Linked DNA regions of Danio rerio. The protein of the gene in region 2 purifies or fractionates together with the protein of the main gene of each other region. This does not show direct contact. Links are inferred from orthologs where the notes say so. Each region holds a gene or a part of one and is shown on either strand. Other genes may lie near its edges.

The links. The genes of interacting proteins can lie anywhere in the genome.
Region 1: the proteins of chd3 (region 2) and cdk2ap1 purify together in Homo sapiens (affinity purification with mass spectrometry; 6 studies listed by BioGRID and IntAct, with this or other methods). This does not show direct contact. The link is inferred for Danio rerio from reciprocal best matches to the Homo sapiens genes CHD3 and CDK2AP1.

The regions. Positions count from the first base shown.
Region 1 is NC_133185.1:50,698,169-50,704,533, reverse strand, and holds the start of cdk2ap1 (cyclin-dependent kinase 2-associated protein 1), read right to left. Parts: upstream 3,613-6,365; 5' UTR 2,936-3,612; intron 1-2,935. Other genes in the region: sbno1 (protein strawberry notch homolog 1), read right to left, coding at 3,650-3,792. UniProt on the Homo sapiens protein: Inhibitor of cyclin-dependent kinase CDK2. Also acts as a component of the histone deacetylase NuRD complex which participates in the remodeling of chromatin.
Region 2 is NC_133182.1:20,734,020-20,739,903, forward strand, and holds part of chd3 (chromodomain-helicase-DNA-binding protein 3), read right to left. Parts: intron 5,606-5,884; coding exon 5,367-5,605; intron 4,676-5,366; coding exon 4,548-4,675; intron 4,460-4,547; coding exon 4,330-4,459; intron 4,057-4,329; coding exon 3,881-4,056; intron 280-3,880; coding exon 22-279; intron 1-21.

The DNA.
Region 1 (6,365 bases), on a different chromosome or scaffold from region 2:
ATACAGCTCTGCTGAACGCTGCACTCTGATTGGCTGCTGCTCACGCTCGGGTGTTTGGTTATTGTCAGATAAAGGCACAGCTAAAGTAGTTCCGGCAGGTTTAGAGCGCGTATCACTCCGCTGAATGATGAGAGTTATTACAGCTACATCAGTCAGAATCACAGCAGCAGCAGCAGCAGATGTGGAGGACACGAGTGCTACAGTGTGGGAACTGCAGTCTGAGCAGAGTAATGAACATTCCACTTCACATTATTGCCTAATAACCCAATAGCTCATCATCAACTCTAGCAGTGTTTCTCAACCATGTTCCTGGAGGAGCAGCAGGTCTGCACATTAGCCAGGTCTCCTTCACCAAACACACCTGATTTAGCTCATTAGCAGACGGTGACCTGTAATGAGTCTCACACACAAAGAAGACATCCGAAACATGCAGTGCTGGTGCTCCTCCAGGAGCATGGTTGAGAAACACTGGTTTACAGCATGTCAAGATGAGAACGAGTCATTCTGAGCAGTGCTCACTGAAGTCCATCAGCGAGTATTAATAAACATGTTCAGTTAATGAGGGAAAGCTTGAGTTCTGATCATGAACACTCGTGTTAAAGAAACTACAGCAGCCGTCTCAAACTCAAACAAGCTCTGCATAGTTCATCTCCAACCACCTCCATCTCCACCACACAGCTGCTTAACAGTCTCTAGTAGTGTTGAACATCTCGATTGGTTGACCAGCTTTAGGAGTGGGGAAAACTGCAGGAATCCAGTTTAAGAGCCATGAGCTAAAGGGTCAGTTCCCCCACACATGACAATAGCGTCTTCATTTACTCACCCTTTAACTCTCACACCACCTTTATTTCTTCTGCTGAACACCAAATACGATGTTTTGAAGAACGCTGGAAAAGGGTAACCATTGACTTCTACTGTATTTGTTTCACACTATTGAAGTCAATGGTTACAGGCTTGTAACATTTTTAAAGAGACAGTACACTCAAAAATCAATATTTACTCACTTTTGACTCTGACTATTCTGTTTGAAGATGTTAAAAAAAAAAAATGTTGAAAACCGGTAACCATTGACTGCCATAATAGAAAAGCAGACACTATGGTAGTCAATGGTTACAGGTTTCCAGCATTCTTCAAAATATCATCTTCAGTGTTTGACAGAGAAGTGAAGCCTATAACAGTTTAACACACTCTCGGGTGAGTGCATTGTCAGTTATGGATGAACTGTCCCTTTAAAATTCTTCAAATACGCCAGAATTGTTTTTTCACCCTCTAAATATGAAATACGTGATTTATAGACGCATAAACTCCTCCACGTGACGACATCGTGTCTTACAACTTTTTACCTTGCCACAGCCGCATCAGTGTCTGGATGGAAAAGGTTTCAGTAATTTAGGGCGGGGCTAGAAATAATTTAAAGTTGAACTGTCTGTGTTCAAGGAAAAGCTATGAGTAATTTAGGGCGGGGCAATCATTAATTTAGGGTGGAGCTATCAGTAACTTAGGGTGAGGCTATCATTAATTTAGGGCGGAGCAATCATTAATGTAGGGTGGAGCTATCAGTAAATTAGGGTGAGGCTATCATTAATTTAGGGCGGGGCAATCATTAATTTAGGGTGGAGCTATCAGTAACTTAGGGTGAGGCCATCATTAATTTAGGGCGGAGCAATCATTAATTTAGGGACGGAGCTATCAACAATTTAGGGCGGGGCTATCATTAATTTAGAGTGGAGCTATCAGTAATTTAGGGCGGGGCTATTATTAATTTAGGGCAGGGCAATCATCAATTTAGGGTTGAGCTATCAGTAATTTAAGGCGGGACAATCATTAATTTAGGGTGGGGCTATCAGCAATTTAGCGAGGGGCTATCATTCATTTAGGGTGGGGCTATCAGTAATTAATGGTGAGGCAATCAATAATTTAGGGCGGGACAATAATTAATTTAGGGTGGGGCTATTAGTAATTCAGGGTGGAGCTATCAGTGATTTAGGTTGAGGCTATCATTAATTTAGGGCGGAGCAATCATTAATTTAGGGTGGAGCTATCAGTAATTTACGGTGGGCTATCAGTAGTTTAGGGTGGGGCTATCAGTAATTTAGGGAGGGGCTATCAGTAATTTAGGGAGGGGCTATCAGTAATTTAGGGAGGGGCTATCAGTAGTTTAGGGTGGGGCTATCAGTAATTTAGGGAGGGGCTATCAGTAATTTAGGGAGGGGCTATCAGTAGTTTAGGGTGGGGCTATCAGTAATTTAGGGAGGGGCTATCAGTAATTTAGAGAGGGGCTATCAGTAATTTAGGGAGGAGCTATCAGTAATTTAGGGTGGGGCTATCAGTAATTTAGAGAGGGGCTATCAGTAATTTAGGGTGGGGCTATCAGTAATTTAGGGCGGAGCTTTCAGTAATTTAGGGTGGGGCTATCAGTAATTTAGGGCTGAGCTATCAGTAATTTAGGGTGGGGCTATCAGTAATTTAGGGCGGGGCTATCAGTAATTTAGGGAGGGGCTATCAGTAGTTTAGGGTGGGGCTATCAGTAATTTAGGGAGGGGCTATCAGTAATTTAGAGAGGGGCTATCAGTAATTTAGGGAGGGGCTATCAGTAATTTAGGGAGGGGCTATCAGTAATTTAGGGAGGGGCTATCAGTAATTTAGAGAGGGGCTATCAGTAGTTTAGAGAGGGGCTATCAGTAATTTAGGGAGGGGCTATCAGTAATTTAGGGAGGGGCTATCAGTAATTTAGGGTGGGGCTATCAGTAATTTAGGGCAGAGCTTTCAGTAATTTAGGGTGGGGCTATCAGTAATTTAGGGCAGAGCTTTCAGTAATTTAGGGTGGGGCTATCAGTGGTTTTCAGTCTTACAGATGAGACCTAAAACAAAGCTCCTGACTATCTGTGCTCATTAATAACCTCAGGGCACTTCTGGTAAAGAGTAGGGGTGTAACCTCGGTGTCCTGGCCAAACTCCCTCCATCAGCTCCATCCACTGAACTGGCTCCATCACTGTCTCTCCACTCCACCTCTAGCTGGTGTGTGGTGAAGCACTGGCGCTGTTGTCCTGCACACTGGTGGTGTTGTCGTCATGTGTATGAACTGTATAAATGCACATGATTCACTTACTCTCACTTATAACTGCAGATGAACTGCAGAATGTAAAGGTGAGCAGGCGTGCCGTCTCCTCTCCTCCACTGAGCTGAACACAACAGAGGAGCACATCACATGAACCACAGCCGTCAAATCGAGGTAATCCACAAGATTTATTGGTCAAATGCAAGAGGTAGAGGTCTTGCAGTCAGTTATATTCTCTGTACATCAGATCCGTCAGTAGTGCAACTCGTGCAGAGATGAAGGACACGCAGAGCAGAAGAACATCACATGTCAGATATACACGGAGAGAGAAGAGTCCAACATGTACAGCAGACGAGCTCCGGGAGCCGCTCCTCCACACAACAACACAAAAACAAGAACCATTAAAAAGCAAGAGTTGGAGAGGCTCCAGCCGGCCCGCCACACGCTCTCAGACGGCCAGGAGACAGAGCCACGTCCTGAAGCGGAGCTGATCCATGCAGAGCGTCTGTCCGCATGCTGGAGGAGAAGCAGACCCCGGGGGACTGTGGGAAACCCTGAGCGCAGTCGGTCTGTCCTGTGTGTGTGTGTGTGTTACGTGAGAGGTGTGTGTGTGAGGCTCTGCGGGTGCAGCTGCTGCCATAAATGTTGCTGCTGCACCGCCAGCTGCTGACTCTGATCTGATGATGACAGGATGTTGACCAGCGGAGACACACAGTTCTGCGGGATGATCAGACCTGAGGAAAACACACACACACACACACACACACACACACACACACACACACACACACACACACACACACACACACACACACACACACACACACACACACACACACACACACACACACACACACACACACACGGAGGAGGAGTGAGGCTCTGGCTGTGTCCCGAATCACACACTTCTGCACTGTATAGCATGTTAACAGCGTCTCTGCAGATATCATGATGTCAAATTTAAGACCTTTTACGATCTTTTTAAGACCATTAAGTATTAAATTTAAGACCTATATCGCAATATCAAGAACACACGACAGAAAATGTAGAAGCACAAAATTAGGGGTAAAATAAAGTTATTTAGATTGAACAGTAGTAAAGTCAGGTTAAATGCACCAGTGAACTACAGAAAAACAAACATCTAAATGCAGATTTATACTTTCACCTGGCGCCGCACAACTCACAAAACAGATTAAGACTTTTATACTCGACACGTTCACCATTGAGATATATTTTTGACAGGGGGCACTCCAAAACAACAGACAGTAAAATCAGACGAGTAAAAAGATCATCATCATCATCACTGAAGATGTTTTTGAAGGCCTCTTTTTTGTTTTAACAAACTCATCCCTCAGAGTTTTCCCAAAGTTTTACAAAAGCTTTCCTCCTTTCCCATGGCTGTTGCAGTTTCTAGCCAATAATTATTGGTCAATCTGGCAAGCAGAAGTGTAGCTGTGATAGAAAATAGGTAAAGACTTGATTATGTATTATAGCCTACTGTACTGTTCACTCTTCAAATAAATCCCACTATCAGTCCCATTTTATCACTGAAATAAAGTGCACACGTGTCTGCTGTACAGTGTTGTGTGAAGTACAGTAAAGTGCTTCAGTTACTCTGTTGTGGTAATACTACAGTTGCTATGGTAAGTGTATAATAAACTCCCCAGTGCTTAAGTTTTTTACAATATATTGTATATTATTCTACAATTCACCACACTTTACTGTAGTAAAACTGCACTGTATTTCATTTATCAGTTCACTATTCTTAACACTACAGTACGCTGAAGCATCTCTGGAAAAGCACGAGAGGAGTGCGACCGAGCGAGAGCAGATCATTCGCACGTGAGCAGCCGGTGTTTTGAGAGCTCGCGAGCAGTTTTGTCTATGAAGGAAACCGGTGCGTGAGCAGAGATTCGCTCTCTCGTATTACAGCGCTCCCGACTTATAAAACTGCACTTGCGACATTTGTCAGTGAAATAACGGCACACTCTGCCAGCCGAAATCATCACGCACACTCAAAGCGAACTACCGCAAACACAGCGATGACGTCACATTCACCGCGCGCACTGAGTTTAATAACAGAAAGCTGATTGGCTATTGCAAGCTGACTTTTTTGTAGTTGTAATACCGCAAATTACAATTGGACTAGTGAAATACAGAAGAACTACAACACCCCAAAAACCAAGCAACAATAACAAGAATTTAAATGAGCATTAGATGTAGCGGTACATGGACATCACAAAAATAAGACCAGTGCAGAAATATTTAAGACCCAGAACAGCGAATTTAACACTTTTTAAAGCCCTTAATTTCGATTTTTTAATTTAAGACTTTAACACTTTTTAAGACCCCGCGGGGACCCTGGTTTAATACAGTATCTGTGTGAGTGGTGTGTCTGAAGTCCGGGTTTAGTAGAAACACTATGCTGCATAATAAAGGACTCGCAGTGAATATACAGAGCATCCTGAGAGAACTGACAGCGCTTCACTCTCCACATGTGTATGATACAGCTTTATTACTAAACGCATTAAATTAATTGATTTCCTCAACATTCTACACACAATCCCCCATCATGACCATGTCAAGAAAGAGTTTTAGAAATTGTTGCAGATTTATTAAAAACAAAAAGCTGATAAATCAGGTGTACATCAGTGTTCACAGCCTTTGGGTGTAAAGCTCCAAGTTGAGTTTAGTCATTCTGTCTCCACTGGTCATTCCTGAGATGTCTCAGCAGCTTCATTGGAGTTCAGCTGTGCTCAATTCAGCTGATGGACATGATCTGATCAGGCTACACCTGTCTATATAAGAGCCCAGGGTTGACAGAGCATGTCAAAGCACAAACCAAGCATGAAGACAAAGGAATTGTCTGTAGACCTCCGAGACAGGATTGTCTGGAGGCACAAAGCTGGGGAAGGTGACAGAAACATTTCTGCTGCTCTGAAAGCTCCAGTGAGCACAGCGGCCTCCATCATCCGTCAGTGGAAGATGTTTAACCAGCAGGACTCTTCCTAGAGCTGGCCGGACATCTAAGCTGAGTGATCGGGGGAGAAGAGCTTCAGTCAGGGAGGTGATCAATAACCCGATGGTCACTCTGTCTGAGCTCCAGCGTTCTTCTGTGGAGAGAGGAGAACCTTACAGAAGGACAACCATCTGTGCAGCAATCCACCAATCAGGCATCTGTATGGTAGAGCGGGCAGACGGAAGACACTCCCCGCCTGGAGTTTACCATCTGCAGGACTCTCAGAGCATCAGAAACTAAACTCTCTGCTCTGATGAGACTCAAACTGAACTGTTTGGAGTGAACGCC
Region 2 (5,884 bases):
TAGTAGCAGAGCATTACTCACAGTGCAGCGTGGACAGAGCCATTCTCCATTGGGGATTTCGGGCAGTGGAGGATTCAGGCAGTGAATGTGATAAGATGACGGACAGGAGTCACAACACAACAGCTCTCCTCCGTCTTTACACACTCGACAGAACTCCATGTGGTCATCCTCCTCTTCCTCTCCACCAAGCCCTGACTCCACATCCCGCACATCGTCACACTCCTCTTCAAATTCCTCAAAGTCTTCTTCTTTTGCTTCCCACTGGATCCCTTCTTTCTCCTGAAAATACACACTGTCATTACCCAGAATCTAGAACAGCTCAATATGAAGATCCTAAACAAAGATGACCTGCTTTTTGATGACCTCCTCATATAAAAAATGTGGGGGAAGCATTATCTTTTTTAAGGCCAGTATCTTTTTTTAATTTAATGTTGGTGTTTTATTTCATCATTTAAACAGCTTAATAATGTCATATTATTTGATCTGTGATGGGTGAGGGTCCGCCATATTTGCTTTACCTGTAGAGGAGCAAGTCATGCAAGTGACTGTTTAACTAGGAGAAGAATAGGGTAAACCCAAACTTTGTGAATCTGATGTGAATAAAAGTTTTATGGTTTGCTATGGTACTTATGTGTATTAAGATGTCTAAAACCTAAAATAAACTAACACTGATAAATTGTGATTTGACTAGCGTCATGCACATCTTTTCTCTGGCTCAGTGTGAGTCCTCATGGGAAAGCAGATTTGTATTTAGCAGCTGATGTACTGACAGTTCTAAACATAGCAGTGTGATCGCAGCTCCAGAGACCAGCCAAGACTGATCACACCCGTGTGATTGTATGCATCAAAGAGTTATTTTTCTTATAATATATACTGCAAAATCACCTCTTTTCACACAGTGTCTAAAATGGTTCATTTAAAGATCTATTCTCTCTAAGGGTGCTTTCACACTTGGTCCGAATGCATGGTCTGTCAACCCCACCCCAGTTATTAAAACCAAAATATGCAAAAGTATTACAATTATATTTTTAAAAAATCAAATAAAAAAATAAAAATTTAAATTAAAAAAAATGTAAAATTCGCAAAAGGATTAAGAATGTTAAGAACATCACACATTGTCTTTATAAGTCGTTTTTAGAGGAGACAAGCAGACATCATAACGGTTTGCACTAGTTCAGTCCCGCTTGTCACCAAGGTAGGTGATACAGACATGAAAACTAAAGTTTGTTGTACAGTTGGCGGTTCACTTCTATTATTTGGTAGGATTGCATTCATATCAGAAGTGAACTGTACTAGAGTTCCCACAAACCGTACCCCAGACCACCCCTTCAGGTGGACTTGAGTACGGTTTACGGGTGCACATCTGAGTTTAGGAGACAACGTTCACACTAGCTAAACGTACCATACGCCAAACGATCACGGTTGTGGACCTAAATCGCACTTCAGCGTTTATTTGAAAGTAGGGTTGTAACAATATACCGGTATGACGGTCTACCACGATTTGAACGTGCACGATTATCATACCATGAACAATTGCATATCAACGGTTTTAACCCTTAAAGACCGAGACAGCCGCCCGCGGCTAAAAATAAGTATTGCTCTTAAATGTTTAATAACTTTTGATCCGCTGATCCGATTCATACAATTCAAAGATTGGCATAAAGAAGAGAATCTCAGCTTTCCAGTGCTGTATCACATAACATTCACGGACATTCAGAGGCTCCGGAATCAGTGCGGTTACGTCATCAAAATTTGACAACGCTGATTTGACAAAGAAACGCTCGTCACTGTGTCTCCGGACAAACCAGACATGATACATTGATGCATTGTCCCTCCTTCATGCCCAGATTGGTTCAAACTCGCTATATCACAACCAATAAGCATAGGTTTCACTTTTGTTTGTGGACCAACACTGAGCTTTTTGAACAACACGGAATGAGAGATAGGCATACATTTCTGCGCGGCTAAATAAAACGCAAAAAAAAAAAAAAAGTTTTGCATGAAATAATTCTCATACCAAGTACTTTTGCATGCACAGCAGCACAGAAACATGACAAAACAGTGACACAGCAAAGACGAACTGCTGCTCTTGCTGTTTTCAAAAGACACAAATGAAGGTGCAGCTGTTTGTCTGCATTGCATACAACCATATCCAAATCCATATCCACAGACAACCATATCCATGCTGGCACATAAAACCTAAGGATGTTCCATATTGAATCTAGTTTCGTTATGTAACTATTTATAGTATAGTAAATATTTATATCTATTTTTTACTGAGGATTTGCACCATGTTTATTTGGACTTTGACACACTATTTATTATTTTCTTATTTTTTTATTTGTTCATTGTACAAGTGGACACATTCTCTCACCTCTGCGGTCAAGATTAAGTCCTGAAAATCTCAACATGCTTACATTTCTTCATCACAACCTAGACTGAAAAAAACAACGCTTTAAATACATGTTTACAGCCATAAACTTGGTATTGCACTTTTGGTCTCCCATTTATCCTGCTTATAAGGAAGGACAGTTTAAGTTTATTTTTGTCTAATCTTAAAAGACCTTGCTTGTTTATTCCTTCTAATTTAATTTATTAAAATGGGAGATTTTTCAGTTTATTTTTATAAAAGACTTCTATAGTTCTATTAAAATGGTTCTTTCAAAAGTTTGTTGAAATAAAACCTTTGTTCAGTCAGAAAACGTGTTCTTATTCTTTTCAGGGTCTTTGCTATGAGAATTACTATTTAATACCGTATACCGCGAAACCGTCAAACCGTGGTATTGTTTTAGACGATTATCATACCGTGAAAAATTCATACCGTTACAACCCTATTTGAAAGCGCACAAGAAGATCTGCGCTTGAGCAGCATATATTTGAGGGAGCGTGCAAGAAGTTTTGTGCACAGGCAGAGGAAATCTGAGCCCAAGCAAAGCGATCTCGACTTAATACTGCACTCACAACATTTGTCATTGAAATAACACCATAGGTAGATCTGTGTAAAAAAGGCCTGCCGCCACAGCTTGAAAAAATCTTAGAGAAAACACTGAAATACCAATACTATGTTAAAATACAATTATAGGGGTTCATGCATAATTGCGCCAATCAGTCTTTGCAAGAATCATTCAACAGTCTAAACCAGCAGATCTAGAGCAGCGATGGCTATCACAAGTGGTCATGAGACACTATTTCTTGCTTGAATTTACTAAAAGTAAAGTAAAATTAGACGCATAGTTTGAATAGTTTGAGCTACAGTAACCAGAAATAATCAGAGGTTAATGTGTGCCAAAATACTTTAAATATCCCACAAAACACTGAAAACTTAAATATGACTTATTCATAAATTTGATGTCATTTAAATAAATAAATTGGATACACTGAAAAACTTACCAAAAGAGTCGACCCCCCCTGATCATCAATGTATAATTTGCACCCTGGTTATAAACCAAATGAGCATAACCATATCTACATTTCACAGCAGAGACACTTCTATACACATTAATACAAACAGCAATTATAGCATCAGTTTTACTGTTACTGTATCATTTCAAATCATTTTTAAAATGCATGCAAAGTGGATTTGATTCACAGAACAGAAAACATGTCTGTTGACACACTAAAAACCAAACTCTAATACTCAGCGACACCACAGTGTTTGGCGATGCTGTTTGTGGATAGTTGATAAGGCCTAAAGATTACTCATTTAAGTCCACAATCAGTTTTTTCTTATGGGAGAACATAACTCCAAGTTTGCTTTGATCTCTGAAGCTCCACAGACATTTTACAATGACAAACCATTATAATAACCATTACATAAAAGGTGACAGGACCACTTTGAAATCAATCTGTGACTCTGAAGGTTTGAGTGGAAGTGACTCACGCAGTGAGGGCAGCTCCACTTGCCCTCAGGTGCTTTCTCCAGCTCAGGTTCAAGGCACACCAGGTGATAAGCTCTGGGACAGGTATCACACAGAATGATCTCTCCTCCCTGCTGACACACCTCGCAGTAATCCTGATGGTCAGTCTCATAGCCATCGCCATCCTCATCGCCCAGCGCTGAGACAGAAAGATATGGAGAGAGATACAACATTAACTTTACCCCTCTGATGCATAATGTCTACTACTGTTTTAACCAATAAAATCATTTAAACCACCTAGGGTAATTATTATCTTCCTAAATTCTCTGGCAATGAACAAAAACCTCTATCACATTAATAATTTGATGTAAAAGAGAATTGTTTATTACACTTTGTGTCTGTGCACTCAAAAACCCATCTATCAGGAGTTTAGACGGACCTGCAGTGATAATAGCAACAAGCTAATTCTCACCCTTTTTCTTCTTCTTGGCAGGGCGACCCCTTTTATTCTTTTTGACCCGTCCTGAGCTGTCAGAGCGGACTGAAGAACTGTGAACGCTGGAGTTTTCCTGCTCAGAGTCGTCCTCATCCACCTCCTCACTCTGCATTTCAACCACACACACATACACGATCAAAAACACTGCACGCAACACACATTATTGTGCAAGCGGGTTATACACAGACACTCACTGAACTGCTCTTCTTCCTCTTGTTACCAATCGCTCCCAGTTTAATGCGCAGGGGAGCCATTTTCTTGGGTTTTGGCTTCTTCTTGTCGGAGACACGAGGGCTCTTACTTCGTTTCTTGTAGCCAGGGCCTGTCAATAAACAATAAATTGTCAATGTTGGTATTCTAATATAAGTATTCTGTCTAGATTAATAAAAATAATCATGCATCATTTTTAAATGCTAGAAGATATTTCAGATGTCAGAACATTTTAATAAACAAAACAAATATTTTAAAAATTGCTTAAAATTACATTATGTGTAATAGTAATTAATTGGCACTCATTCTAACGTTTTGAGATTTTGGGCTGTTATGTTTACAAATTTTGTCTTCATTTAAATTAGTGAAAATAAATGTAAAAAATGAAGGTGACTTTTTTATTTTTTAATTAATTAAAAAATGTATATATATATATATATATATATATATATATATATATATATATATATATATATATATATATATATATAGTTACAATACTTGCCTGTATGTGTTTTTTAAATTACAGTTCAAGAGCCAGAAACTTTTGACTTATATTTGAATCACCAAGTACCACAGTTTGAGCTAAAAATCCTAATTATTATTGTGAATGACCTAAATGTGTTTAATTGTACTGTAATTGTACCTTAATTGTACTGTGATCAGCTGAGGAAAGCATGATGACATTCGCTAGGTAATTTTCCCAATTAAGTTATATGCTATTCATTTCAATTCAATTCTCTAGATTCAATTGTTAACAAGCTTTGTATTTATATAAAATAGCGACTAATAAATCTGGCCACCTTTGCCCTCTTTGGTCTTGGCCTTGCGTAGTGGAGGTGGTTGAGGTGGAGGTTCGGGCGAGGCTGTTGCTGCGGAGACCTGCTCGGCAACGGCTGCAGCCGCAGCGGCAGCAGCTGCAGCGACGGCTGCTGCCGAACCCTTGAATGGATTATTGGAGCTGAACTCCCGCCATTTGGCCCCAAGAATGGTCATCATCTTGGACATGGGGATTTTAGGGTTCTTCTTAGCAATCATGGGCCTGCAGAAAACAATATGTTGACATACATCCAAAACACACAAGCAATCAATTTAATCAATTTTGGTCTGCAGATTTTAATGACACTAAATAAATGAAAAGGCCATTCCTTCAAAATGTGTTATTTTCTTAAGTTTTAAATCTTTAATTTGGCAGGACTTTTAATTCATATATATATTTAGGGATTAAACTGGGGGGTATGTTCATTCATACTTAATTTGCTTTGCTTATATATTACATTTTGTTCCTCAAATTTTTTCTGGATGTTTGCAGTATTATCTA